Linked DNA regions of Diceros bicornis minor. The protein of the gene in region 4 binds, or shares a complex with, the protein of the main gene of each other region. Links are inferred from orthologs where the notes say so. Each region holds a gene or a part of one and is shown on either strand. Other genes may lie near its edges.

Region 1 (7,388 bases), on a different chromosome or scaffold from region 4:
AGGGGGTTGTGAAGGAGAACTACCAAGACATATGCTCAGGATAGCTTAGGGCCTCTATTGGATTGAATCATGCCTCCCCAAAACTCATGTATAGCTGGAACCTCAGAATGTGACCTTATTTAGTGAGGCAGTCTTTGCAGATGTAATTATTAAGATGAGGTCATACTGGAGTAGGTGGGCCCTAAATCCAAGGACTAGTATCCTTATAAGAAGGCCACGTGAAACACAGACACACAGGTGATACTGAACCTCTTAATCTCAAGTTTGTGTGCCCAAGGCACAGAAAGCCAAACACCGAGACATTGGTGCTTGGAGACAGAGAAAGGCTCTGTTCAAGTTGGCCAAGACGAGAAGGTGGGAGCACGGGCTGTCTCAAATCTGCCTTCACCAGAGCAAAAAGCAGGGGGGTTTTATAGAGCTAAAGGGCTTGACAGGGGGAGCTTCAGAGAAACAAAGGGGTCACTCCTGATAAGCCCCTGGGCAATCTGCAAGGGCTGCTGGGGGCTGGCCATCTGGTGATCACAACTTCCCAGGAGGCGTTCTCTTTCTTCTGCAAAACAAGCTCTCAAATCCTCTCCACCCAAGTCACCCCTCAAGTTAAACAAGAAAACTGCAAATTGACAAGATTCATCTATGTCTGTGTTGGGAACAAGGTGAAAAAGCAATCATGTTCTTATTGAATATCTACAGTAACCCTCAGGTACCCAGCTCTACCAGGAAGAAGGCCATGTAACTGCAGAGGCAGAGATCGGAATGGTGCAGCTACATAAGCCAAGGGATGCCAGAGACTGCTGGCAACCATCAGAAGCTGGGAGGATACAAGGCAGGATTCTTCCCTGGAGTCTTTAGAGGGAACATGGCTCTGCTGACACCTTCATTTCTGACTTTTAGCCTCCAGAACTGTGAGATAACAAATTTCTGTTGTGTTAAGCCACCTAGTTTGTGGTTATGAAACCAGTAAACAGTTAGCCATTGATGATTAGGTAGCTAGTAACTAAAGTTTTGTTTTGTAATTACTGATTATAGCTTTTAGTTGTTCACCGGTCCATTGTTAACTGCTGTTTAGGCAATACGCTATCTGACTCCCATTAGGTTCCTATAGATAACATCTCTCTAGCACCTGGGTCACCATGGTAATGGATGTTTGAGCTGTTTTTCAGGAATTAGAACCCCTTGTCCACTTCAAGCCGGTTGAGACCACCAACCCACCAACTGGGCCTGAGCAGACGTCTGATAAGTGACCTTTTGATGTCAACAAGCTAAAAATTCCACCCTCGGATCATGCTAATGCCACCATTATGTGAACATGTATCCTATGAAGAAGCCTGAAGTTTGACTACACTTGTGCAGATCATCAATTACCTCGCCTCTCCTCACCTCCAACCATGTATCTCCACTTTTCAGACCAACTTGCCCCCATAAATATCCCTGAATCTCCGTTTTCAGGGCAGCAGATTTAAGACTTGTTCTCCCACCTCCTCACTTGGCTGCCTTGTGATTAAAACTCTCTCTCTGCTGTAATCTCGTTGTCTCGGCAATTGGTTTTCTGGGTGACAGGCAAAAATGACCTTGGTTTGGTAACAGTTACTTGTTACCAGGAAACTAATGCAAGGCCTGAGAGTTGTTTTCAGGGAACATGTAGGAAGTCTGGAAATCTTTTTTTGTTTTTTTTGAGGAAGATTGGCCCTAGGCTAACATCTGTTGCCAATCTGCCTCCTTTTTTCCCCCTTTTTTCTCCCCAAAGCCCCAGCAGATAGTTGTATGTCATAGTTGTACATCCTTCTAGTTGCTCTATGTGGAACGCTGCCTCAGCATGGCTTGACGAGCGGTAAGTAGGTCCGTGCCCAGGATCCAAACTCTCAACCCCTGGGCCACCGAAGCAGAGCTCATGAACTTAACAGCTACCTCACCAGGCCAGCCCCCAGATATCATCTTAATTTTGAAAATGCTCCTATAGGAAGAAAAGTATTTAGTTCTTTTTTGGGGGGAGGGGTAAATATAATGTTCAAATATTTTGAAACATCTTGAAAAAAAGTAAAACCTATTCATGTAGGCTAATTGCTGTAACAAACAGACCTCACAATGTAAAATGGCTCTGTTGAAAAGAAATAACAGGCCCAAAATAGAGGCACTTGTGTTAAGTACCACCAAGACTTAATACCTAACCTAAATACAGTTTCAGCCTCTCCCAGGAATGGAAATTTAAACCAACTGGTCTGGAATTTCCTGATCAACACTAGTGAGGTAATCTGCCTGATAAGGCCTCTTGCCTTCCTCTAAGGGAAGGTGATGTTCAGGCAAAATAACCAATAACCATTCTATAGATAAGAGAGACAGGGTGAGTTTTACTTGAGGCAGGGTGAGGATTATAATCTGGGAAGGCAGTTTCCAAAAAGGAAGAAAATGTTCCAGAGAAGCATGGTTTTCAGTCCAGTCTTATACCTTTTGAGAACAAAGCACATACATTAAACACACCCAAGATACATATTCACCAAAGTTTCAAAGATGTATTTAGTTGCAAATTAGCAGGTCAACATGACTCTGATGTTGGGAAATAGTCTAATACAGCTGTTACCCACACAGCGTAGGAGGAGTAGTATGCATTCTTATCTTAAGAGAATGCATTCTTGGGGCTGCCCCGTGGCCTAGTAGTTAAGTTCGGTTCGCTCCGCTTCAGGGGCCCAGTTTCTTGGGTTTGGATCACGGACATGGACCTACACCACTCATCAGCCATGCTGTGGTGGTGACCCACACACAAAATAGAGGAAGACTGGCACAGATGTTAGCTCAGGGCTAATCTTTCTCAAGCAAAAAAAAAAAAAGAGGATTGGCAACGGATGTTAGCTCAGGGCGAAAAGAGAGTGCATTCCCTAATGGTTAAGCAGATCTACAATGCATGTTTGATAGGCCAGAAGTCAGGCTTCTTTAGTTCAAGCCAAACCAGTTTTAAACCTGAATACTTACCCCATATACCTCAATATGCGAAAATCTCTTGTCAGTAACCTTGCCTGAAATGATCTACTCTTGGTCTCACCCTCATTCTGCCTATAAAAACCTTCCAGGGACCAGCCTAGTGATGCAGCTGTTAAGTGCTCTCGCTCCGCTGCTGGTGGCCCCGGTTTGGATCCCAGGAGCACACCAATACATCGCTTGTTGGGCCATGCTGTGGCAGCGTCCCACATAAAGTGGAGGAAGATGGGCACCGATGCTAGCTCCGGGCCAGTCCTCCTCAGCAAAAACAGAGGAGGATTGGCATGGATGTTAGCTCAGGGCTGATCTTTCTCATGCACACACAAAAACCTTCCATTGTTGTCCAAGTCCTTGGAGCTCCTTTCTACTTGCTAGATGGGATGCTGCCTGATTCATGACTCACTGGATAAAGCCAATTAGATCTGTAAATTTACTAGATTGAATTTTTGTACTTTAACAGTTCAAACACAAGACAGTTTTTTTACTATAGTAAACAATAAAATGAGAGTACTTTCAAGCTAATTGGCAATTTCTCTTCCTTCACTTTTACTTTAGAATTAAGGTGGCGCTTAACTAGATAATTCTTGAACTGCCACCATTGTTGAGCGCAGGGCGGAATTCCCAGGCCTGCCCTGTGGGCACGTTTCTGGAGGTCTAGCTAGGAGCTGGGCAGGTGTGGGAGACGTCACTCGGCCGTTCTCAGCCCCGAGAGCACATTAGAGTCACCTGGGAAAGGGTTTCTGTTTTTTGTTTCCTAATACCTGAGCCATCATCTCCGGGGCAGGGGCCCGGCACCAGCATTTTTAAAGGCTCCCCGGAGGGTGCCCACGCGCCGCCGACACCCAGGATCAGCGCCCCAGGGCAGGCTAAGTCAAAAGTCGCACAACAGTTTTATAAGTGAATATTTATTGGAAAAATTTCCCCGAAATCTCCTTAAAAATAACCGTGTACAAAAGCTCTCGTACAATATGACTCCATTTCCGCAAAAACGATTGTAAGACTGGGAATTAACTTGGGTTATGAGAAAGGATGGTGTCTTCAGTTATTTGCATTTAAAAATTTTTTACCATAAATAGTCATGTGCGGTACATTAAGGGAGCTATTAGAATCTAAGGTGCATTTCTCCCGACAACAATGAAGCCCGCATTTGGGACCGTTTGGTACCAGGCAGTGCCCCGGGGGCTCACGAGCCGTCCTCTTTCCCTCGCACAGGCGCAGACGCACCCCCCGCGCCCGGCTGCCACGCGGGTCTTCCTCCGCGCGCGCCCAAACCCCTGCCGGCGGCTCCCGCCCCTCCTGCAGGCCCCGCCTCCACTTCCGGCCGCTTCGCCCCGCCCACCCAGCGCCGCCGATCCTCTCCCTGGCCTCGCTCCGCGCCGTCCCTCTCTTCCGCGGCCGTCTGGCTTCCCGGCGTGTTTTGTTTGCGACGCTGTCGTGTCACAGCGCGCTTTACGGCCGCGGGGACGGCGCGAGCCGGCGGCAGGGCCACTTCGGCCGGGAAGCAGGACGGGAAGGAGTTTGATGCCCGGCGGCGGTGTGAGCGCGGCGTTTGGCCGGCTTCTCACCGCCGGGGAGCAAAGGGGGGCCCGGGAAGCGGCGGGGTCGACGTCCAGGAGCGGCCCGGGGGGCTCCGGCTCGGGCGGCGGCGGCAGAGGCGGAGCAGGCGGGCCCGGGCCGGGGAGTGGCGGCCCCGGGGGCCCGGCGGGCAGGATGAGCCTGACCCCGAAGGAGCTCTCGAGCCTGCTGAGCATCATCTCGGAGGAGGCGGGCGGCGGCAGCACCTTCGAGGGCCTGTCCACCGCCTTCCACCACTACTTCAGCAAGGCTGACCACTTCCGCCTGGGCTCGGTGCTCGTCATGCTGCTGCAGCAGCCGGACCTGCTGCCCAGCGCGGCGCAGCGCCTCACCGCGCTCTACCTGCTCTGGGAGATGTACCGCACCGAGCCGCTCGCCGCCAACCCCTTCGCCGCCAGCTTCGCGCACCTGCTCAACCCCGCCCCGCCCGCCCGCGGCGGCCAGGAGCCCGACCGGCCCCCGCTCTCAGGTACGCCGGGGGCGCGCCGCCCTGCCCCCGCCCGGTGCGCGGTGGGGAGACTTGGAGTCACCAGTTTTCCACCTGCGCTTTTGGGAATGCACCCGCAAGTGAAATTATCTCCTTTTGAAATCCGCCCCCTCGACACTACCAAGTGTGGAGAAATGGGAGCTTAACGATCAATTCATGGCACCGAAAATTATTCCTCGCAACGGTACAGACCGTGAAATCATGTAGCTCAGTGTGGGGCTTGACATTTTTAGTGCTTCAAATACAGCTCTTGCTTGTAAAGCCCGTCTGAGGTGTGTAAAATTGTAGCTGATGACACAGTGGATCTGCCCCTGCTTTTCAGTCTCAGAGGAGTAAATAGAAGTCGTTATTCAGAACCCGAAGAAGTTGTTGGACGGAAATACACATTAAATAGCGGTTAAGGACTTTGCAGCCACCTTTGTTGGGCTGCTAGGTATACTTGGATAATGTGATGGGGGCAGAGGATAGAAGGTAGTCTCGTTCACCGCTTAGATTAGAAAACGCATGACTACTGGACGTTATGTCAAATACAGCACTGGTAAGATCTGATCAGTGGGTTCCGTCCGAGGCTCCCTTTCTTTTTCTTTTGAACTCAAGCAAGAGATACTATGTGAGACGTGACTTGAGGAGAAGACTTGCAGCCAGGAGGGGAGAAAGGCACAGAGGCGATGGTGATGAGGGATAAATGTACCTAGAAGACTTAGACAAGGACCAGTGTTGTAGAGGAAGCAGGCGGAGGTGGGAAACAGCTTGATCTTACAGTACTTAACCAGTGGGTAAAAGGGCAGGTCACTCTATGGGTAGGGGCTGCTATACAAGGAGTCAAAGGTTAAGGTAGCGGATTTTGAGTTAATAGCGGAGTTTTTCGCAGCGCAGGAGGGCTTCTACATTATAAGCCGGCTGGTGTTCTGCCTGGCATCCCCTCTGGATCTAAAGCGTTTTCTCTTTGGTTTTCTGCATTGCTCTTATCAAAGGGGCAACCTTTGTGTTGGATGAGATGCCCTTAGGGTACAAGTACTGAACCTGGCTTTCAGGAAGTTTGAGAATGCCCAGAAAGGGAATGCAGCATGTGTATGAGTGGTCAAAACCTACCACCCTGGGGTGCCCTTACCAGAGGATGGGGACAGTGTGGGATTTAGGTCAGAGGACCCTTTGAATTCTGAAGGACAGGTTAGGAAAAGGACATATAATGTCGCTTTCAAATGCAAGGAGTCTATACCCAGATGTAGTCCATAGACTGCATTGTAAACACAAATTTGCCAGAGAAGGAATCCATGGATTGGTTATTTTACCTGTGTCTCAGTTTCTTCATCTGTAAAATGCAGATGATAATTCTTAGCTGGTAGAGTTATTATGAGGAATAAAAGTATCTATGATGAATGTTACCCATTATTATCATTACTTTTATTAAAGGTAGGGACAGTGCTGAAATACACAGCCAAGGGAGTATCAATGCCAAGGCTTATGATACTGTACGTGTAGGGTGAGCATATAATGGGTATATTTTTAATAAGTTTTTCAGATGATTCTAACGCAGAGCCAGAGTTGAGAATGTATCTGGAAATAAATAAGATGGCTTCTCAGCTCTCAAGAAGCTTGTGTTCTGGTTGGGGAGGCGTAAACATAGGATGCAGTGTGGTAAGGGCTGTATGTAGTAGGTGTCTCAGAATGCTTGGGAGCACAGAGGAACGTCTACCTGCATAGCTTGCGAGATTCTCAGAGGGAGTGATGTTTTTGGTGGATGTTGATTAGAGATGGGGGGTGGTTTGGGAAGGATGTGGCCCTTTATTTCTTTTATTCTGTTTTTTTTTTCTTTTTTTCTCCCCAAAGCCCCCCAGTATATAGTTGTATATCTTAGTTGTAGGTCCTTCTATGTGGGACGCTGCCTCAGCATGGCATGATGAGCGGCGAGTAGGTCCGCATCCAGGATCCGAACCGTTGAACCCTGGGCTGCCGAAGCAGAACGCGCAAACTTAACCACTGCGCCACCGGGCTGGCCCCTATTTCCTTTATTCTTAAAGAACTGGGTGTATTGGATGTTTAGAAATCAGGAATCAGAGAAGCTGAGAGATTTTGTGCAACTGGAGTGTAGGATACATGGATTGGAGGGGAGTTCAAGAGATGGGATTAGGACAGTGGGTCAGAACCAGATTATGAAGAGCCTTATAATGGTGCAGAAGTTTGGGTTTAATTCTGTGTTAACAGGTTAAGTAACATGAGCAGATTTGTACCTAGAAATATGATTAAATAGTAAGTGGGAGTCTGGACTGTGGGTCAAAACTAGGCCGGAGTCAAAACTGGGAGCTGGGGAAATCAGGAAGGCTGTCCTGTAGTTGGGGGCAGGGAGGGTGGTGCG
Region 2 (7,479 bases), on a different chromosome or scaffold from region 4:
TTGGTTGGATTAGTGGATCTCTGAGGCCCCTCCCACTTCTAATGTCTGATAATCTGGAGGTGAGATTTATAATTGTGTTTACCAATTTTCTGGAATACATTCTTTATCCCATACCCCAAACCCACATCTGGTTAGAAATGTAAGAGATATTCCGAAGGCTTTGGGCCCCATTGCTCCTAGAACATTACAGAATGTTATAGAAGTTCAAAAGAAGATTCTCAATGCTGGTCATATAAAAAAAATCAAAGAGGATTTTGAGATCTGGCTGTGACACCAGAGATGATGGGTTTGTCACATGCAAGTACAGGGAGACGTAGAAAGAGCGAGAGAAGAGAGCTTTAGAACAGACTAGAGTGTCCCAAAGGGCAAGTTTTACTCTTATCTACATTAGTGTGCTTACCTGTTCTCTTTCCGTTGGCTTATATTTCCATTTGCCTAGCTCTGTATTGGCAGAGATCAACTTTCTTCTTTGTAAAGTACTGAATACCCAGCAGCCTTGAAGGGTTTCACAATAACAACAATCGAAAGGATGCATTGGCAACTAATTATCAATCGGAATCACCTAGTAAAATTACCTAAATTGTCACCTGATATTTCCATAGGCAACATATTTACCATGCCTGGGAGAAGCTAGCTTTCTTTTCTTACCAAATTTAGTGTAATTCAAATAAGAAAATTAAAATGTCTCTGCCTTTACCCCATTTGTTGCCCATAAAAGTCAAAGTAATCTTTAAAAACATAAACGGGATCAGATCATTCCTGTGAGTAAAATCCTTCTGGTTTCCTGATGCACTCTGAACAGTTTTAAAGCCTCCCAGACCTTGGCTCACCAGGCCTCTGCTTTCCTCTTCAGCCTCTTGGTCTCCGCAGCCGCCTCGACTTCCTTTTACCACCTCTAACATGCAAAACTCATTTCTTAACCTCTGTCTGAAATTTGCTGCTCTCAACTTCTCATGGCTCTCTCTCTCTCTTCGGTCGGTCCTTCTTGTCCTTCTCATCTTTGCCTAAGTGCCACCATTTTAGAGAGGCCTTCTTTGACCTCTAAGTAATTTCCCCTATCTTCCCCCAATCCAGTTGCTCTCTGTCACTTTACCCCATTAGCTTCCTTCATGAAAGCTATCAAAATTTCTCATTATCCTTTTATTTCTTACCTGAATGTTTATTCGCTTGTTTTATTGTCAGTCTCTGCCACCAAATGTTAAGTTCCACCGGGCCAGGAACCACATCTGTTTCATTCTGTTTCATTCATCAGTGCATCCCCCACTGTCAACATGGGGTCCCGCCCATAGCAAATGGACCACAAATAAAACTGACTGGATGACCACCTAATCCCATACTGGACTGGGCATCAGAAGACTCAAATCCTGATCCTATCTCTAGGAGCTGGGTGACCTTAAATTATTTAGTTACTTTCTGTGAAATTAGGGGAATGTATTAGTTAGAACATCCTTACTGACTCTCAGCTTTGGAAATTTAAAGGTCTATGATTATTATCAGTAGATTTGGAAATGTTGTTACTTTCATAGATTCTAAGGGAGAAGGAAAATCAAACGAGATAAGAGTACAATAGATTTGATATCTATTTCTGTATTCTAAAAAATGAACTCTGATCTCTCATCTTTCCAGAAATCAGAAGATTTTTCAGGTTGCAATCAAAAGATCAAAATAATACTCAAATGCTTAGTCATGAAACATGATCTCTGATTTATATTTAGGGGAAGTTTGATGATCTGTTGATAATTTTCAAGAGTCAGAAGAAAGTTTTTCTACTATGTAGGAAAAGCAGGAACAACACACTTCAAAGGCAGGAAGTTACTGCAACTATACCAAAGAAAAAAGCCAGCTGCATGCATTCTTCAGCTGAACTTAAAGATAAATACATAGTCTGGTAAAAGACAACATTATACAAAATGACAGACCTGGGCTAAGCTTGGAGAGGGCACTTTAACAATGGAATTAATCAGGTGACAGGCAGCTAGGTGTGTCAGCGCACTAAGGAATATGAAGGTTTTTGAGACAGGCTCAGAGGGTGATTTTTAGTGGTACTATATGCCTGGAGGCATTTACTTTCTTCTCCATTTTCAAAATATTCGAAACTCAAATATATATTTTAGATTTTATCTTCCTACACATCTTATACTTCAAGAAATGCATCCTGTGAGATTTATTTAGAATTGGGAATAACAGAAAGTCTTGGCTGGCCAAGGATATCACCCCATCTGGTTCCTAAGGAGACCCATTTTACAATCAGTGTTTCTCAATTTTTTGTAGCCTATACCCTCCCAGTTGAGAAGATATGTTCAAGCCTTACTTTCTACAGTTTGTAGTTCAAAAACAATAGTTTTTTTTTTTTCCCCAAATGTGAAGTTATATTATTGAATATATTCTTCTCCAACTACCCTTCCATTCGTTTGGGGCCTCCTTCCCACTAAGAATCAGTGATTTACACAACTGTTCTAACTTGGCAATAGCATAACTGCAGCATAAAATCTGTTGTTTAAAACAAGCACTCCAAGCCTCCTGAAATACAAGCCATCTGTGTGTTTGTTTTACATTTATCTTCAATAACCTGAGAAATGAACACCGAGTTCTGGGACGGGTGGGGTTTGCAGGGGTGGAGATGGTGTGTCTCCTGTTTGTTTCAGTGCACACCAGGCCCAGTGCTACAGGAAAAAGAAAAAATTCCAAGAAAGGATTGTGGAGGCTGCTCTTTATGTGAGTGATAGGGCTATCCTGTCCTGAATCTAATTACAAGTGGGTGAAAGGATATCAGAAACCCACAGGATGGGGGGTGGGGTGGGGGGGTAGTGTCTCGCCTGCCTTCTCCATCACAACATTGCTTACCAGAATGATTAAATGTGCAGCAGAGTGAACAAACATTGAGTATCTCAGGGATAACAAACTGAGACAGGCCAGAAACAATTATTTATCGAATACACTTACATATCTTCCTCAGTGTCGGGTGTTTTTTCCATTTATTAACACAGCCGCTTTGTTATTCATCTCCCCATGTTACGGATAAGGAGACAGACACTCACTTGGAGGGGAGAAGAGTGAGGTTCACCCCTGGGGGCTGGGAGTGGGAGTTCACCTCCCTGGAGCATAGCTTTAAAGGGAGTCCGGTTTGAAATCGCCGCTGAAGGCATGCTCTGCATCCAGCCTCGGAAATGAAAGTAGGATTTTGGAGAATCCCCTAGGGGGAAATGTTTAAAAGGAGGAAAGCCTAGTGACTTGGGGGTAAATTTGCTATACACTTACCAACAGCCCCCTTCAAGTGAAAGCATCTAGGGCTATGACCAGAGCCCAGCTTTGGGCCGTCTGCTCCTTCTCTCGGGGACGGGGTGGAGCCCTTCCGAGAGTGACTGAGGGCGGCCCGGAATTGACAGCTGTGCGAGGAAGCCAGTGCTTTGTCTTCTCTCCCACTCTGGGGAACACGAGGCAGCGTTGCATCCGAGCCTGGTCTAACGCCGCCAAGAACAGGCGCTGGCAAAGAACCCTCTTTCCAAACAGATTCACAGAGAATTAAGGGGCGGGTGGGGGCCTCGGGGACCTCCTAGGCTAGGCCTGGGCCCCAGTACCCTCGCAACGAAAACCTGCGACCTTGCTTAGAGGCCGCCAGGCCTGGCTCCGCCTGCGCTGGCCGGGCGCTGCCCCCCGGTGAGACCGCGCCTTCCGTGTAACTCTAGCGGGCCCAGGCAGGCCGGCTGCTATGGTAACGCTGCTCGCCCGGCTCTGGGAGGCGGGGAGGAGGGAGGCGGGCCTTGGCGGACGTTGCTCAGACTCGGTTTGGGGTGCTGCCCCACTCCCAACTAATTATTTGCCAGAAAGGAAGCCGTGAGGTAGATGTTTTGTAAATGAGGGGCCCAGGGGCCGCAGTAGTATAGAAGGAAGGGGTCAGGCTCTCCCCCTAAGTCCGCTCCTGCCAAGGATTTTAACGGTCCTTCAAAGTAGGGAGGAGGCAGCGTTGTAATTTGGGAGATTCGGTCAGACGGGCCACGCCCTTTCCTCGGCCTTTCGTGTGCCTAGGCCACGCCCACCCGAGGGGAGCCTAGTTCTAGACTACGCCCCTTCCCTGGCGCGCGGAAGGAGGACCGACATGGAGGGGTAGCGATCTTGACTGAATTGAGCCAGCGCAACTAACCGCGCGGAAGCCTAGGGAGGGCTGTGTTCCTCAGGCGTCCTCCGAGGCTGCCCCGCCCCGTCGTTTTCGCGGCGCCCGCTTGGTTTTGCGCCTGCGCAATTGCTCCCGCGAGCTCAAGGGCTGGTCGAACACGTACGGAATCGCCGGGGCGCGCAGAAGGGGAGGAGCGGGCATGCTCAGGCGCGCGCGCGTCTGGAGTGTTGCGAAGGGAGCAGGCGAGTCGGGAGGCTTGGGTGGATAGAGAGGTGCGGGCCAGATTGTTTGGTGGGCTGTGCGTAAGGCCGCTCAGGGCACCAGGGCGCCCATCTCGTTGGCCCGCTCGGTGCTAGGAGCAGATCCGGGGCAGGAGGGGAGCGCTGGATTAGGGGCTGTTGCTGCAGCTGCTCGGGAGTCGCCCGTCAGCCCGCGGTTCGCGGGCCCTGCCGGTCAGGGTAAGCGGGCCGCGCTTACCAAAGAGAGGAGCGTGAGATGAGAGTGTGGGAGGCCATCGGGGCCTGCGGGAGGAAGGGGGGTGGGAGCGTGCGGGAGGGGCAGGGTGTGTGGGAAGGGAAAGAGGTCCATCGAATAGTAGTAGTAATAACGACCACCACCACACGATAATAATATTCTAGTGATATGTGCCAGGACTTTACAAAGCACCTTATATGCAGCCTTCTGTTCAACCTCGACTGCGATCCTCCGAGGTGTATACTGTGAAACTCATTTTACAAGATAGGAAAACTGAGGTACGAGAGAGGTTAAGTAACTTAGGCAAAGCCTCACAGCTAATCGGTGGCCTGGCTTCGAATTTACGTCTGTCGGGCCCTAATGCGTGATATTTTAATATCTTTGCTTTACAAAAAAGGAAAAAAGAACGAAAGAAGGGTGGTTAGGAGGAGGGGAGGAACGAGTGTGGTTTGAAGTGGGAGCGTGATCCAGAACGGGAACAGAAGGATGGCGGGAGACCGTGAGGGAGAGCGAGGACCTGAATTTGGAACCTCGCGGGCCTCCCCCTCCTTGGTTCTTGAGGCCCCACAACTTTTCCTTGCTGTTTTGTGGGTTTATAAACAGCACCGTTGCTCTTTAGGAGCCAGCTCACAAGGCTGGGCCACGTGGGTGGTTCTAAGAACTGGTTGGACTGTGGTTCAGTCCGGGGTAGTGTCTTCGGACGCTGTGTTTTGGAGGGAGGGGAGGACGGCGGCCGGGGCCCGCCTGCCGTGTAGCGAGGGGACCCTCTTTCAAGCAGCTGCCGTTTCTTCTGACGCGCTGCTGCTTACTTTTTCATCTTATCCCCTCGCAGCAAAGCCTTTGTTCAGTCCTCTAGAATGGGGAAGTGATGTTTATTGTGCCCTTGCATACTTAGGCTTACACAAAACAGAACCAGAAAAACAACACATTCTTTCCCCAAGTCAGGCCAGGCACCCTGGATTGCTTGCAGAGAACACTTTCGAGTGGCTTTATCACTAGTTGCTCTTCAGGGTAAATAAGGAGCTTTGTTTTGGAAAAGTTTCTAGGTCATCAGGAGCGTTCTGAACAGATTGCCAGGGACCTCCGTAATTCGTAGGGGTGTGTGTGTGTATATGTGTATGAGAATGAGAGCGAGAGAGAGAGCTTTCCTTCTTGCACAGTCTCGTACTACTGTGTGTGTGTATGTGTATTCTCATACACATACAAGAGAGACAGCTTCTTGCACAGTCTCGTACTACTGGGAAACTACAAGTATCGTTTATGGCTTGTGTTGTGCTTTCATATGGAGTAGAGTAGCTTATATGCGAGTCAAGTTTTTATAGCGTGGGGTAGCTCATGTGGAGTCAAGTTTTAAAGTCAACCTGTGAGGCAAACATTGCATGCGATCAAAATTATCCTTAAAAATTCCTTAGGAAGGTGCAAAGTTGGAGAAGGCCATTCTGTTTCTCAGTAAATCCAGCATAGTCAGTTTTTCCTTGAGCTTTGAAACTTCGCACTGTTTCTTTGGTTGTAACTCAGATAGGGTAATTCGGTTACTTTTAGGGGCTGTGTTGAAGAAATAAACATATTTGAATGGGGTAGAGTCATGCCACACAATGAAGTGCACTATGAGATGCTGGCACTGAGAGGCTTCAGAGGAGGAAGAGGAACCAAGGGGAACAGTATGTTTTTGGTTCCCATCTTAGGCTCGCTCTGGAGTATGTGCTCACTGAGTGGAAAGCGGCAGGCAGAATTGCCAGCATTATTATTATTACTTCTCTCTCTTTTTTGGCTAGCATATCCAGTAATTTATGCTAAGTTAAATGTACATAAGGTGTGTCCTCTTTAGTTCCTGAGTGGCACTACATTTAGGGGCTTGCAAGCTATTGTTTATTTCCTCACGATTTTCCTAGATAAGGATTTGGTGCAAGAATGTCATATATTTTTGCCAGTGGTCTGCTTTTGCATTCCCCATTTGTCAGATATGTATAACAATCGTTAGCTTTGTAACAGTGGTTGGCTTTTTAAAAAAAATTCTCTTGGAAATGAAAGTCATGATATTGCCTTTTTAAATTAATGTCTCTGAATTTCAGTTTCAGTAAAATGTGGAGGAAGATAACACTGTACAAAGTTGTGAGGAGTTTTGTCTACTGTTATTTTGAAGCAAAACCCCACATTTCATATCATATCACCTATAAGTATTTTGCATTATCTCTAAAACATAAGGACTCTCTTTTCTTTAATTAATTAATTTTTTTGCAGGGGAAGATTCACCCTAAGCTAACGTCTGTTGCCAGTCTTCCTCCTTTTTTTCTTCCTTTTCTCCCCTGCAAAACCCCAGTACATAGTTGTGTATAGTTGTAAGTTCTTCTGGTTCTATGTGAGCTGCCGCCACAACATGGCTACTGACAGACAAGTGGTGTGGTTCTGCTCCTGGGAACCGAACCCAGGCCACGGAAGCGGAGCACGCTGAACTTTAACTGCTAGGCCATCAGGGCTGGCTCAGGGACTCTCTTTTAAAAATCATAATTGCAATATATTATAACACCAAAAAAAAGCAGAAAAGACAAAAAAAACCCCGACAAAAACCCAAAACCAGCCATTCGTTGTTCAGACTTCTGCTTGTCTCAAAAGTCATAGTGGGGCTGGTCCTATGGCATAGCGATTGGGTTCAGCACGCTCTGCTTTGGCGGCCTGGGTTTGCAGGTTTGGATCCTGGATGTGGACCTACACCACTCATCAGCCATGCTGTGGTGACAACCCACATACAAAATAGAGGAAGATTGGCATGGATGTTAGCTCAGGGACAGTCTTCCTCAAGCAAAAACAGAGGAGGGTTGGCAACAGATGTTAGCTCAGGGCAAATCTTCCTCAGCAAAAAAAAAAAAAAAAAAAAAAAGTCATAGTTTTTT
Region 3 (7,404 bases), on a different chromosome or scaffold from region 4:
CCTTTATATTTGGGGAGATGTTAGAGTTGAACACTAGTATATTTAACCTGTTGCTGACTTTTCTTAAACTTTGGCAACTTAAGGTATCCTGGTATACGTATTAATTAGTGAAATATTTATCACCCTACTGCATAGACTTATTTGTGATCATTACTGTTTTGTTTAAATGGAACTGATATCACGTATCCTCACAGAAAATTTCCAATGCAGTTTTTGAGAACTAAATTAACTATTCGTGTTTAACCAGATAATTGACAGACGGTTTCTTTTTGAAACAAAATGCTTTTTAATTATTAATCAAGTTACTCGCTTTTTATTTATTTATTATTTTTTTTTGTGAGGAAGATCAGCCCTGAGCTAACATTGATGCTAATCCTCCTCTTTTTGCTAAGGAAGGCTGGCTTTGAGCTAACATCTATTGTCAATCCTCCTCCTTTTTTGGTCCCCAAAGCCCCAGTAGATAGTTGCATGTCATAGTTGCATATCCTTCTAGTTGCTGTATGTGTGACGCGGCCTCAGCATGGCCGGAGAAGCAGTGCTTCTGTGCACGCCCGGGATCCGAACCGGGGCCGCCAGTAGCGGATGGTGCGCACTTAACCGCTAAGCCACTGGGCCGGCCCAAGTTACTTATTTTTGATTTCAAAAGCTGCTATGTTTCTGATGTATAATGAACAAATGTGTGTAATTTTTTTGTGCCAGACTTTTGACTATTTTCAAGCACCATGAGATGGATGGTTAGAAACAATAATATTAAGGTTTCTATTTAACCCTTTCAGGACTGAACTGTATCTCTTTAAAATTCTTTTTCTTGTGTTATGATGTTTGCCATTCATATGCTTATGTTTAGCTTATTTTTTGTACCTTGAGCATACTCTACACATTCAGTCCTTAAGGGGTGTATTTTACAAACTGTGTGCTGTAAGGTTTATTAGCAATCAGATAGAAAACTGATTAAGTTTATACTATAATTTTGTAGAAAAAAACCTGCACAGCTCTGTACTTCATCCATGAACAATTTGCAATGTGGGCAGTTTCAAGGAATAAATAAAAATAAAATGTTAAAACAAAAAAGGAATGTAAAAATTTTAAGTTAAACATAAAAACAGTGAGAGCAAGAATTATTGAATAGGATGGAATCAGTTTGCAGTATGGTTTTTAGATTGTTTCTTCCAGACCCATGGTTTCCTTGCAATCTGTATACTTCATAATCTTCACTTTCTTCTGTACTGAATGTATTTTCACTTTAAGTTCTTCAGTTAAAAAGCAGGCTAACACTAAGCATTTGAATGGCTAATGCCATTACTGCTTAAGAAACACAGATAATTCTTTCATTGACCTATCATGTGTATTTATAAATTATTTTCATTCCTGTTATCAATTCAGTATTTAATTCATTTTTCCCTTTAAAACAGATTTCAGTTAATTTTTCACTGCCAGCAAAAATGTATTTGCTGATTATATGTGAGTTTTAAATTGATTTACTATTATGTACTGATTGAATCTGGTAACTTTTGGGGGAGTAATTTTACTTTTTTTTTTTTTTTTGTGAGGAAGATCAGGCCTGAGCTAATGTCCAATGCCAATCCTACTCTTTTTGCTGAGGAAGATTGGCCCTGGGCTAACATCCATGCCCATCTTCCTCTATTTTATATGGGATGCTGCCACAGCATGGCTTGACAAGCAGTGCATCGGTCCGCGCCTGGGATGCGAACCTGTAAACCCCAGGCCACTGAAGCGGAGCGCGTGCACTTAACCACTACACCACTGGGCCGGCCCATAATCTTACTTTTTAAGTGAAAGATATCTTATAATTCATACATAGGCTAGAATAATTAATGTTTTTATTAAGGAAACAGCTTAACCATGTATTTAAACATTCAACCAAGTTGATGTAGTTGAGAAAGCAGAGTTAAAAAGTATTTTGTTGGGCCGGCCCCGTGGCTTAGCGGTTAAGTGTGTGCGCTCCGCTACTGGCGGTCCGGGTTCAGATCCCAGTCGTGCGGCGCACTGCTTCTCCGGCCATGCTGAGGCCTCGTCCCACATAGAGCAACTAGAAGGATGTGCAGCTATGACATACAACTATCTACTGAGGCTTTGGGGGAAAAATAAATAAAATTAATAAAAAAAAAAGAATGTACATAAGGAAGACCTGAGGGTACTGGCTGATGAGTTGGACCCAGGGTGTGAGGAATCACAGAAGATTCCTAGTTTTCTGCCTGAGCAAGTGAATGGACTGTTGGTGGTACTGTTTATGGAAATCAGGAAGACCGTGGGAGATGTTTGGATTCAAACGTTGTTTCAGCACATTAAATTAGAGATGCCTGTCCTTTGTATCCCTTGCCATGATAAGATTTTTAGTATTGTCTACACACTTTGACAAACAGGAGGCCTCCCTTTCCTACAGCTAGTTATGAGTCAACAAACTCATTCGTCCTATTAGGTATACAAGGAATTTACCTTACACACACTTCAAAAACACACAACATCTACTCAGGTATGGACTGTTTTACAAGTAAAAGTTAGAAAATCTATCAAAGTGAATAGGTGAAAAACAAAACAAAACACCATGAACTATCTACCAAATGGGCAAATTTGATCAATACTGGCAATAAAGATGAACTTTTTGATGCAATAGGGCAATTTAAAAAATACAGCATTTAGAGTGCTTAATAGAAAGTCATAAATATAAGCCCTTAACAAATGTTAGCTCATTTAATACCTAGAACCCACCTCTAAGGCAGGTATTAAACAAATTTATATAGATTGGGCACCAGTAACAAGACAATTTAAAACTTGTTCTTTAACAAGGTCTAAAGTAAATTTATCCTAAACAAGCAGTGTCTTCAAAAAAGCAGTAGTCTCAGTGCATTCTTCTTCCTAACACTCCTACCCTACACATTTGTGGTGAAAATGTTTGTTGTTCTGTCTCTTGCAATAAAATATCAAGGTAACAAAGCCCTCAAATTAGACCCTTTGGAAGTGATTTCTCCAATTTCACCAATGTTCATGCTATTTAAAACTTGTGCTTTTTTGAGTAAATATAGTGATGGTAAGAATAAGGTCCAGCTTTTGGTCTTAACAAAGTCCTATACAGGAGTCAAACTAACAGATTAGAATGGTAATACTTGATGCTACTATATGCTTATAAGCATATCCCGTTTTTATCATTCCATCTTATGATTCCAAATATCGAGTTATACTTTCAAATTACTAATCGCTAGATATACACGCTCAGTAGTACATAGACACATGTGCATGTATTCATACACCTATACGTATTACACATACTTAGAGGCAGCGTCAGCCTTTTAACACACATCTTAACAGGGAAGAGAAAGCTCAGAGCAGGAAAGGACTGTGGGGGGCGGGGAGGAAAAGGGAGGGAAGGACATAAGGAAGTGTTGATCCTCCTTGAAGTTTCCTGAAGTAAAAAAGACAGTGAGGCACAATGTTTAACGAAATGAATAACCAGGCAAAACATTTTCTACTGGCTACATCAGCACCATTTGGAGTTTAAATAAATTCACACATCTACTAACATCTCAAAATAGCTTGCCTCCCGTAAACATGACAAAGTCACCTTTTATTTTATAGTATCCTTATTTTTCCTGCTATTTATGAGTGACGGAGGCCGTCTGCCTTTCCATGATAAATTTTAAATTGGATTACAGTGAGTTTTTAGCAGAAGTTTTATTTACTCCACACGAACTGTACTTTACATTAACAAATTCTATCACTCAAACAGAAAGGAGTAACAATGTTCACTTGATGGAACAGCACAATCCCAAGCGCACACGCGGAGGCTCCGCGTCCCAGACCGCCGGGCAGCACCCCGGGAGGCTCACCGACGCTCAGAGGAAGGAAGAGCCGTTACTCCACGGAGAGCGAGCCCACCTCCCCTGAGCGGCAGGTGCTCGTCCGGGGGCAGAGGTCGGCCTCCGCTCCCCCAGGCCCGGCGGCACCGCGGCGGGAGCGCGCCGCTGACCGGGCCCCACCGCCCGCAGGTGCACGGGGGGCGCAGGCGCCGGGCGGGGGGAGGGGGAGGAGCGCGCCGCTGACCGGGCCACACCGCCCGCAGGTGCACGGGGGGCGCAGGGGCCGGGCCGGGCCGGGGGAGGACGGCGGCCGCGGGGACGAGTCCCGCACTCCCCGCCCCGGGCCCGCCCGGAACCCGTGGTCCGCTCGCCGTGACGGCCGCGGAGGAGCCGCAAGCCTCCCGGAGCCGGCGGGGACACGACGAGGACGCGTGGGAGAGAGGCCGCCCACCCCCGGCCCCGGCCCGGCCCGGCCCGGCCCAGCCGGCCCGCCGCTCCCACCTTCCGCCGCCGCCGAAAGCGAAGCCGGACGGCGGGGGTCACGGTGGGGGTCAGAGGGTAAAGGTCCTGCTCCCAGCAGCCTCCGCGGTGGATACGTCGCCATCTTGGATCCGCGGGACAAGAAAATTCATGCGGTGAGTTTTTGGCAAATTTTCGGAAGTCTGGCAGCGGGGCGCGCGGCGGGGGCGGCGGATTCGGGGCCCCGCAAGGCGGGGGAAGGCCCCGGGGCCGGTGCGGGCGCGCCGGGTGCCCGCGTGCAGCGCCCCGGCCCGCCGCTTCCCGTTGCTTTTGTCTGGCTCCAGTCGAGAGGGCGAGCGGCGGCGGGGAGGGGGTGGCGGCGGCGGGCGGGTGCGGGGAGGGCGGGCGGCGCGGGCCGGGCGCGGCTTCGGGGTCGGCGGCCTCGGCGGCGCCGCTTCCCGGGCGGAGGAGCCTGCCGCGAGCCGGCCGGCCGGGCTGCCGCCTCCCGAGCCCGCGGCTCGCGCTCCGGCCCGGCAACTTGTGTGTGTGTGTGTGTGTGTGTGTGTGTGTGTGTGTGTGTGTGTGTGTGTGTGTGTGTGTGAGGGAGGGGGGTGCGGGGGTGCGGGTGCGGGCGGGCCCGGGAGCTCCCGTGCGCGGTGGCCGGCCCGGTCCTGGCGCCGCGGCCGGAGCGCCCGCCGGGCTCCACTTCCGCCGCGGCTGCTCCACCTTCGCGTCTCGGGTCTCGCTCAAAGTTTCGCGGAAGAAGCGAGTGGGGCTCGCAGAGGCCCGCCCGAGTCGGCCGAGGCTCTGCGGTCGGTCTCGGAGGGAGAGCCTCGCGCTCACTCCGGGTGGCTGGGCCTTGCGAAGGCGAGTTCGAGTTTCCTTTCGTAAAAGCTTTTCCAAGAGTTTGCATTTATTCCAGGCCCTGTGGGGACGGTGTTACCACCACCCAGGTCTTACATACGGGTACCACCCTCTCGGAAGGAACCTCAACATCAACTTCCTTCGAATTCTAGGGGACACCTTCACTTTTCAACATCCAGAAGGCCGAATGCAGCACATTTTGTTTCGTTTTCGTAAAAGTGGTCGAAGAATCCTACTCCTTTCTTAATCTTCTGGACGGTTTCTAGTAATTCAGTACCCTGATGTCAACCCTTAGATTCTTGGCGAAATGATAGAAAGTACTGCGTTAACAAAATCTGTTCAGAAGGAGGCCATGCTTGAATTTAGTGTTCAAAGTTGGACACATTTTTTGTCATGCTGGATATCAGGAATTTCTAGACTTCTAGAATCGTAAATGCAACTTTTGATTTGCCTTTTGAAAGAAGCTAAGTGTAAATGATCAAGTATGGGGGGATACAAATTTGAAAAGTATCTATTTACATGCTAAGTTCACGTTGGGTTGTTTGGGAATATTGGGTATATTTGAAAACAGTTGTTTCCCAAACGTCAATGCCCACATCTCTTGCAGTTTTGGAAGATACCTTTATCCTAGATTTGAAGGATTGATGAAGAATCACAGTGGACTGAAATGTTAAATGTTTACATTCTGATTCTTGTCATTGAAATATTTCTTAATGAAGTAAGAGCTTTGGTAGGTTTTTCGTGTTGAACTCCTCTTTAGTTTGTACTTCTTTTGTAATATTAAATCTAAAAGAAAAATACAAAAAACACGTAGAAAAGATAACTCTTGCTCCACTTCTTTCTTGACTTTTTAAGATCCTTGTTTAATTTTAAAAAGGTACGTTTCTCTCTCTTTTTTCCTGAGGGCTTGAATTGCAGTGACTTCTGTGAATACTTTGTATTTTAGACAGCCGTTGAGAAACTTACACACTTTTTGCATCCTAATTATTACTGCATCAATAAAAATAAATTAATGTAAGCATCATTTGTTGGCAGAACTCTTTTGTTCTAAGTATGCTGTATAGAGGTATCTGTAACCTAATCTGGTACTCTTGAGGAATGAGAATTGCCTGTATCTTTAACCAAGCAACAAATACAGCCTTTTAAAAATTTTCAGTTTCTATAATACTTTCGTTTTAAAGTAAATTTATATGGTGGAAAAACGAGGGCAAAATGCATGAGTGATTTATGTTCTCGGTCGTTTGAGAAGTACTTGATCTTGAAGATAAAATAAAACTCAGAATGATATTTCTCCCCAAGAGAACTAATTACCTATGTTTTTACTTAGTAACTTTGGAAGTTTAATTTACTTCTTGATTTTTCAGAGATATTTTACAGTTATAACCTGAAAATTCTCTTTGTTCACAAGTAAATAAAATAGTTGAGATTTATGAATAGATTTTATTAGAAGTGTTGCTAATTAGAAGTGTTTTGGTTTTTATCTCTTCAGTAGGTATTGGTATTAAAAGTACTTGAGTTTTGAAAGACTCGTACAGAATTTTTCACAGCCCGTGGGAAGTTAACAGTTTCACCAAACTTTTTGGTGACAGATTTGCTTCATAAGGTTTTCTGATGATACAGAAAAATATAGAAAAGTTATGCTTCACGTCTATATATGAAATAATGAGTAGACATTAATAGACTAGTAAAAATAATTTATTTTTTGCTCTTTAAAAGCAGTGTTAAATAGTATTTTTTTGATTGTCAAAATTTTTAACTGTAAAAAGTTCACTCTGTTATGAGTACATATTTAAAAGCAAACTTCCCATGTGCTTGCTTGAATAGGCATTTGAGGACAACTTATGCAAATAGTGATACAGTCTTGTAGGAAAAGATACTACTAAATAAGATTTTGTTTGTTACCTAGACCTCTAGTGGCTTTTATAACACAAAGAAGCAAAAGAAACCAAAGCAGCAGGTAGGGCAGTTTTAGAGGCCAAGTTCATCTGAGTTCCACTTCAGTGTTTGAATAGGATTACATACAATATTGATACCAAGGGATCTGGTGCGAAGATAGTAGTCGTTCTGGTGATGATCCTTGCTTACTAAGGATGATTTCTACCTGTGATAGTTAAAGGAATTGAATTTCATTGTGACTTTAATAGATGCTTTGAAAAGAGCTGTACTACAATTGATGTCTGTTGTAGAAAGTCTGCCTTTGAAAAGAAATAGGATGGACATTAGGGTTTTAAGGTTTTATAATTATTTTTTAATTTTTACCTTGGTT
Region 4 (7,063 bases):
TCTAGTGGGAAGCCACAGAGGTTTCAACAAGGGCATGATGTGATCTGATTTATGTTTTAACTGAGCTAGATGAGAATTGATGAAGAGTTAGGAGCATGAGGTTTGAAATCAGACAGCTGGGTTCATCCTAGCTGTACCACTTGATATTGGTGTGACCTTGGGCAAGTTTTAAGAACACTTAAGCCTCAGCTTTCCTGTGTGTAGAATGAGAATGATAATAGTATCTACCTCACAGGGTTGGTAAAGAGTTAAATGAGATCATCTCAGGCCCTGATTTTTGAAATGCTGGCTAGTATTACTTTAGAGTAGTGGTAGAATGGAGAGGAGAGGCAGATGTGAGAAATGTTTAGGGTGTAAAATTGGCAGAATTTGTGACTGCTTAGGTATAGTAAGTGAGCAGAAAGCCTTGCTCTTTGGGAAAAGTTCTTAATTGAGCCTCAGTTTCTTCATTTGTAAAGTGGGGATTCTACTGGTTTTTTATTTATTTCTAATAGCTTTCTAATTTATTTACCTCACAGGGCTGTAGCTTGTGAGCATCAGCTGAGGTAATGTGTACCTTTTAGCTCATATCCTTGTGGAAGCAGAACCCGATTAAGTGGCTGACTTTTTATTTGGGAGCTGCAAGCCCAGGGTAGTGAAAATGAGGGAGAGAAGGAAGGTAAGGCAAAGGAAGATGCAGTACATTACATCCCTGGCAACTGTTTCACCTTGAGCTAAGAGACATAGCAGGTCACTTGCGTATGGGACTTTTCTGAAAGGGTTTCGAGGCAAAACTACACTTCAGAGTAGTCCATATGAGAAAGAAAGAAGGGATTATTTATCTGTCCAGCTTCCTCTCATTTCCTGTTTCCAGACCGTCAAGGCTTCACCCCATGGGGAACTAATTTACCTGTGCTTCTGAGTTGTGTGGCTTCTCAGTGACTGATCAGCCAGCAGTTCTCACACCCTGAGTTGTATTTCAAGCAACCCATAAAGGGAGGGATGTCCCAGGGTGGATGGAACACCACCCAAAGACAGAAATTGAAGGGGCAGTGGAAGGTTCACAAGGTTCATGTCCTTGTATAAAATATAAAAGTCGTGTGAAACCAGTATCATTTTTGACTAAGGAAGTACCAACAATGTTTTAGGATGATTTGTTTGACTTTACTTTTTATGGTTATTTGAAAGGAGAAAGTGGCTGGAGTTAGGACACAAAATCCTAGATTTGAATTTATCTGAGAATTTGGACTATGAGCATGGCCGTAGTAGGCTTAATAGGAAAAGGTTGATAACATTATGAATAAGGGAAAGATAGGACCTGATGAGTAATATGAAATCAGGGGAGGGTTACTTAAAGATGGCTTTGGGGGCCAGCCCCGTGGCTTAGTGATTAAGTGCGCGGGCTCCGCTACTGGTGGCCTGGGTTCGGAACCCCGGGCGCGCACCAACCACCGCTTGTCCGGCCATGCTGAGGCTGCATCCCACATACAGCAACTAGAAGGATGTGCAACTATGACATACAACTATCTACTGGGGTTTTGGGGAAAAACAAAAAGGAGGAGGATTGGCAATAGATGTTAGCTCAGAGCTGGTCTTCCTCAGCAAAGAGAGGAGGATTAGCATGGATGTTAGCTCAGGGCTGATCTTCCTCACAAAAAAAAAAAAAAAAGATGGCTTTGAAATTTTGAGCCAGGATGACCATAAAAATGGTAGGAAGTACAAATGAGAAAGTTTTAAGCCAAGGCTATTTTTATTTTATTTAAAACACCCAAAACTGATTATTATTATTAAGTGTATACGGTAAAAAGTATTAAGTCCTCTATCACCCCTACCCAGTCTCACTCTCTAGGTAACCAGTACTGAATTGTGTGTTCTTCTAGACTTCTTCTAGGCCTACCCAAGCTCACATTGACTTAAAAATGTATATGTGCAGATGAGGAAATAAACTATGCAATACTGTCCTGCCATCCACTTTTCTCAGGGTCTGGTTAGGAATCTATGCATATTTGATATTTTTTCAACTTTTTATTGCAAATGATTTCAGACATCCAAAAAATTGAAAAAATAAAAGGAATATCCATATACCCACCACCTAGATCAACAGTTGTTACATTTTGTCATATTTACTTCCTCTGTCTCTAGCTACAGCTTTTCTAAATAAATTATAGACATCATGACACTTTATCTCTAAATATTTCACCATGCATTTCTTAAAAATTAGGACATTCACCTATAACCACAATACCATTATTGTACTTCAGAAGATTAATATTTTTATACTATATTGAATATCTCCAGTTGTCCCAAAAATGTTATTTAAAGCTGTAAGGAAGCTGTGCTTTTCAAACTGAGATCCAGTCAAGGTTCATACATTGTATTTTGTTATGTTTCTTGAGTCTCTTAATTCCCAGTGTCACCTGGTTTTTTTTTGAAGAGACTAAGTCACTTCTCTTGTAGAATATCCCACTGGATTCATCTGATTATTTCTTCCTTGTATCCTTTAATTAGTTCCTTATTTCCTGTATTTTCTGTGAACTGAAAGTTGTTTCTAAGGGCCTGATTAGATTTAACATATTTGCAAGATACTTTGTAGCTGTTGCTGTATACTTTATATAAAAAGTGCATAATGTCAGTTTGTCCACTATTAGTGATGCTAAATTTGATCAGTTTGTTAAGGTGGTGAGAGGAACATCTTTTTCCATTTGCAATTAGAAGTAATCTGTGGGGTAATTGGCATTATGTAAGCATTCCAACATTGATGATCATTGCCTTAATCAGTTATGTCTTTGAGAGTTGCAGAATGGTACTTCTCTTAGTTCTATTACTGTCTACGTTTATTAGCTAGTTTCTGTAAAGAATAGCTGTCCCTTATCAACTGGGAATGAACTGTGATTCTTCCCAGAAAGGCGTGTTAAAACTTAATTCATCCTTTTCATTTACTAGTTTTCACAATAAAAAGTTGATGTAATAGTGACCCACATTTGATATTTTAAGTGTTTTTAATGTTTAAGAATTGAGAGTAATTTATTGGTCTTTTGATTCTAATTTGAAATGTATAATTGAGTGAATAATTGATTTATACTTGTGAACTTAAGTTAAAAGCTTGCTATATTGATATCATTGCATAGACATTAAAGAGTTCCTGAGTCACTATTTTCATCAGTTTAATTTTTTAGATTTATAAATTACTTAAGTTCTCAGAAAATTTTGTCTTTTTAGATCAAACAGTTGTACTTAAAATTAAATATATTATTTAAAGCAGTTAAAATTATATGTTTGAAGGTGTTTAACTTTGTAAATGAGATCAAACATTCATTGCAGCCCTTTAAAATTAAAACTCCAAATAGAATAAGATGTCTAAGTTGAATGTAAAAGTTTGAGGAAAATCTAGGCTTTTTGAATTTGTAACAATAAATCAAGTATTAATATTTGAAAACTAGAGTAAATCTCTTTTCTATGCATAAAAACTACTCTCAGATATGAAAATAAAAATACTCATGGGCAGTGGTAGTGTCCTGCTTTGCCTGTCTTCCCCAAAGCATGCTGATATTCTTGATTTTTGATATTCTTTTCCTTTATTTTTGTAGTGCTGGACAGGGTGCTCAAGTCTGTAGCATTGCTGGTCACGTGTTATTTCTCTGAGCTGTGTAGAAATTAGCCATTTTATGTAGGGTTTTGATCAAGTCAAATAAACTTGTTCAGTGGTAGAAAACCATGTGGGTGAAGCTTAGGTGTGTGAACCTTAGCTATATGGTGACTTTGGTGCTTTATTTTTCTTGGAAATGGCGTCCTTCTTTTTTTAAACTTTCCTTCATAAAGACATTAGTACTGTTTTGTGAGTGTGGCAGATCTCCTTAGGCCTTAACATTCCTTTTTTCTTTGGAAAAAACTTCTTTTCTTGAACGTCGTTGGAGCTATATTTTGACAAGCGTAGCTTATATGGAAGACCTTCCTCCAATCAGATTTGCATTGTTAACATTCTATATTGGAATGTGTCTGTGCTTTCGGTTAACTGACGTTTTTCAGTTTTGAAAAAGCAGTGTGTTTCTTTTCTACTTAGTTCAAACCTAAAGGCAGTTGTTTGGTTCGAAATGAAGCCTTTTAGCTTAAAGAGTGTCAAGGTTTGTGCACCAAAGAGCTCTGTACGCCTAGAAGGTCAGTCATGTTCATTAGGCCAGAGCAGAAGGAAAGTCAAGCTTATGGATGAATGCTCACATACTCTTTCAATTGGCAATGGAGACTACTTTTGGACAAATAAAGACACGTTGTGGGATTATGTGCAGACTCTTTCTGGTAAGAAGTCAGCAGTTACTAAAAATGTATGTTTTTAAAACATTTTAAAAACTGATTACAAAAATAATACCCATTCTTTGCAGAAAACTTGAGAAGTGTAGACAGATAAAGAAAATAAAAATAGTAATCCCATTGGAGTTTTTTTTTTTTTAAAGCTTCTCTTGATGTAAAAGAACATAGGTAAAATAATGGTTGGTTAACATGTAAAAGGCTGTTTATTGAGCTCAGTTCTCTGAAATGTCTATAGAAAAGGGAACTTCAGAGTCTCTTGTCAGCCTTAGAGTCTAGCTTGCTTATTTATTTATTTATTTATTTATTTATTTATTTATTTATATTTGTCTTGGCTTCTCTCCTTTCCTGGAAGATTGTAGGAGACTTTTACTGTTCCTAGAGGATAACAATGGAAAGGAGAAGCTTAAACTCTTTAATGCCTTGCTGAATTGTTGGGTGTTTCCCTCTACCTTGTATTTAAATCACTGTTTGACAGTTGGGCCCAGAAGTCCCATTAAAGAATGTCATCTAATCTAGAGAGGGTATATTTTAAAAAAAGCTATGGAGATATCTTGATGGCAAACTAACAATTTTTGGTATTTGGTTTAAGTTTAGTGTACTTCCTTATGAGGGAAGATAAATTTTGTAAACACTTTAGGTTTCCTAAAATTTTTTTTTTTTTGGTGAGGAAGATTCACTCTGAGCTAACATCTGTTGCCAGTCTTCCGCTTTTTGCTTGACAAAGATTAGCCCTGAGCTAACATCTCTGCCAGTCTTCCTCTACTTTGTATGTGGATCACTGCCACAGCATGGCTGATGAATGGTGTAGGTCTGCACCTGAGATCCAAAGCCACGAACCCGGGCCGCCGAAGCAGAATGCACCAGACTTAACCAATATGCCAAGGCCCAGTCTCTGCTAAAATTTTTAAAGTATTATGTTCATTGTTAAAATTTTATGATGAATAATATACATGGAATTGAGAGTTCTGCTTCAGTATAAACCCATACTTTGCTTTCTGGGGTCCTGAAATCTGGTGTCCTGTTTTTACACATTTTAAAGTAACTGGTCATACCTAATACATAGACACAAGCACAGGGAAAGAGGCAAAATGAGGAGGCAAAGGTATACATTCCAAGTAAGGGAACAGGACAAAACCTCAGAAAAGGAACTAAGTGAAACAGAAATGAGCAACCTACCTGACAGAGAGTTCAAACAAAGAGTGTTAAGGATGCTCACTGATCTGGGGAGAAGAACAGATGAACTCAGTGAGAATGTCAACAAAGAAATGGAAGATATAAAAAAGAACCAATCAGAAATGAAGAATACAATACTGGAAATGAAAAATTCACTAGAGGGACTCAAAAGCAGAGTAGAGGATACAGAAGAACGGATCTGTGAGCTGGACGAAAGACTAGAAGAAATTACCCAAGCTGAACAGGTAAAAGAGAAAAGAATTAAAAAGAGTGAGGACAGTCTAAGGGACCTATGGGACAACATCAAGCGCACTAACATCCGTGTTATAGGTGTCCCGGAAGGAGAAGAGCGAGACAAAGGGGCAGAGAATCTATTTCAAGAAATAATAGATGAGAACTTCCCTAACCTAAGGAAGGAAACAGACATCCAGGTACAGGAAGCACAGAGAGCCCCAATCAAGATAAACCCAAAGAGGCCCACACCAAGGCACATCATAATCAAAATGTCCAGAATTAAAGAGAGAATCCTAAAAGCCGCAAGAGAAAGACAAGTTACATACAAAGGAAACCCCATAAGGCTATCAGCTGACTTCTCGACAGAAAGCCTACAGGCTAGAAGAGAGTGGCACGATATATTTAAAGTGCTAAAAGGAAAAAACTTACAGCCAAGAATACTCTACCCAGCAAGGTTATCATTCAAAATGGAAGGAGAGATCAAAAATTTCCCAGACAAGCAAAAATTAAAGGAGTTTGTCACCAAGAAACCAGTGCTACAAGAAATGTTAAAGGGACTGATTTAAGGGGAAAAGAAAAGACCACAAATAGGAAAAATTCTCTATTTCCATGATAAGAGGGTAATGGATACAAATGCACAAAAAAGAGGTTTTTTGATATCAAAAACATAAAATGAGGGAGGAAGGGAGTTAAAGAGTGGAGCTTTCAGACAGAGGTCAAACTAAAGAGACCATCAATTCTGTATGGAAGGAGCAAGGAACAGAGAAAGACTACTAAAACACTGAGAAAAAAAAAGTTAAAAAATGGCAGTAAGTACATACTTATCAATAGCCACTTTAAACGTCTATGGACTAAATGCTCCAATTAAAAGGCACAGGGTGGCTGATTGGATAAAACAACAAGACCCATATATATGCTGCATACAAGAGGCACACTTCAGACCTAAAGACACTCACAAACTGAAAGTGAAGGGATGGAAAAAGATACTCCATGCAAATGGCAATGAAAAGAAAGCTGGGGTAGCAGTACTCATATCAGACAAAATAGACTTTAAAACAAAAACTTTAATAAGAGGCAAGGGCATTACATAATGATCAAGGGAACAATCCAACAAGAGGATATAACACTCGTAAATATCTACGCATCCAATGTAGGTGCCCCTAAATATATAAAGCAATTATTAACAGACGTAAAAAGAGAAATAGACAGTAACACGATAATAGTAGGGGACTTGAACACTCCACTTACACCAACAGATAGATCACCAAACAGAAGATCAATAAGGAAACATTGGCCTTAAATGACACACTAGAACAGATGGACCTAGTAGATATATACAGAGCATTCCATCCAAAAACCGAAGAATACACGT

Evidence for each region.
Region 1: CNOT10 (region 4) and CNOT11 share a complex: the UniProt entries of both Homo sapiens proteins name them as parts of the CCR4-NOT complex. The link is inferred for Diceros bicornis minor from reciprocal best matches to the Homo sapiens genes CNOT10 and CNOT11.
Region 2: CNOT10 (region 4) and CNOT8 share a complex: the UniProt entries of both Homo sapiens proteins name them as parts of the CCR4-NOT complex. The link is inferred for Diceros bicornis minor from reciprocal best matches to the Homo sapiens genes CNOT10 and CNOT8.
Region 3: CNOT10 (region 4) and CNOT2 share a complex: the UniProt entries of both Homo sapiens proteins name them as parts of the CCR4-NOT complex. The link is inferred for Diceros bicornis minor from reciprocal best matches to the Homo sapiens genes CNOT10 and CNOT2.

The regions. Positions count from the first base shown.
Region 1 is NC_080779.1:12,246,015-12,253,402, reverse strand, and holds the start of CNOT11 (CCR4-NOT transcription complex subunit 11), read left to right. Parts: upstream 1-4,366; 5' UTR 4,367-4,491; coding exon 4,492-5,014; intron 5,015-7,388. UniProt on the Homo sapiens protein: Component of the CCR4-NOT complex which is one of the major cellular mRNA deadenylases and is linked to various cellular processes including bulk mRNA degradation, miRNA-mediated repression, translational repression during translational initiation and general transcription regulation.
Region 2 is NC_080740.1:71,228,251-71,235,729, forward strand, and holds the start of CNOT8 (CCR4-NOT transcription complex subunit 8), read left to right. Parts: upstream 1-4,466; 5' UTR 4,467-4,572; intron 4,573-7,479. UniProt on the Homo sapiens protein: Has 3'-5' poly(A) exoribonuclease activity for synthetic poly(A) RNA substrate. Its function seems to be partially redundant with that of CNOT7.
Region 3 is NC_080756.1:1,258,947-1,266,350, reverse strand, and holds the start of CNOT2 (CCR4-NOT transcription complex subunit 2), read left to right. Parts: upstream 1-4,396; 5' UTR 4,397-4,445; coding exon 4,446-4,450; intron 4,451-7,404. UniProt on the Homo sapiens protein: Component of the CCR4-NOT complex which is one of the major cellular mRNA deadenylases and is linked to various cellular processes including bulk mRNA degradation, miRNA-mediated repression, translational repression during translational initiation and general transcription regulation.
Region 4 is NC_080741.1:36,557,963-36,565,025, forward strand, and holds the start of CNOT10 (CCR4-NOT transcription complex subunit 10), read left to right. Parts: upstream 1-4,055; 5' UTR 4,056-4,070; coding exon 4,071-4,272; intron 4,273-7,063. UniProt on the Homo sapiens protein: Component of the CCR4-NOT complex which is one of the major cellular mRNA deadenylases and is linked to various cellular processes including bulk mRNA degradation, miRNA-mediated repression, translational repression during translational initiation and general transcription regulation.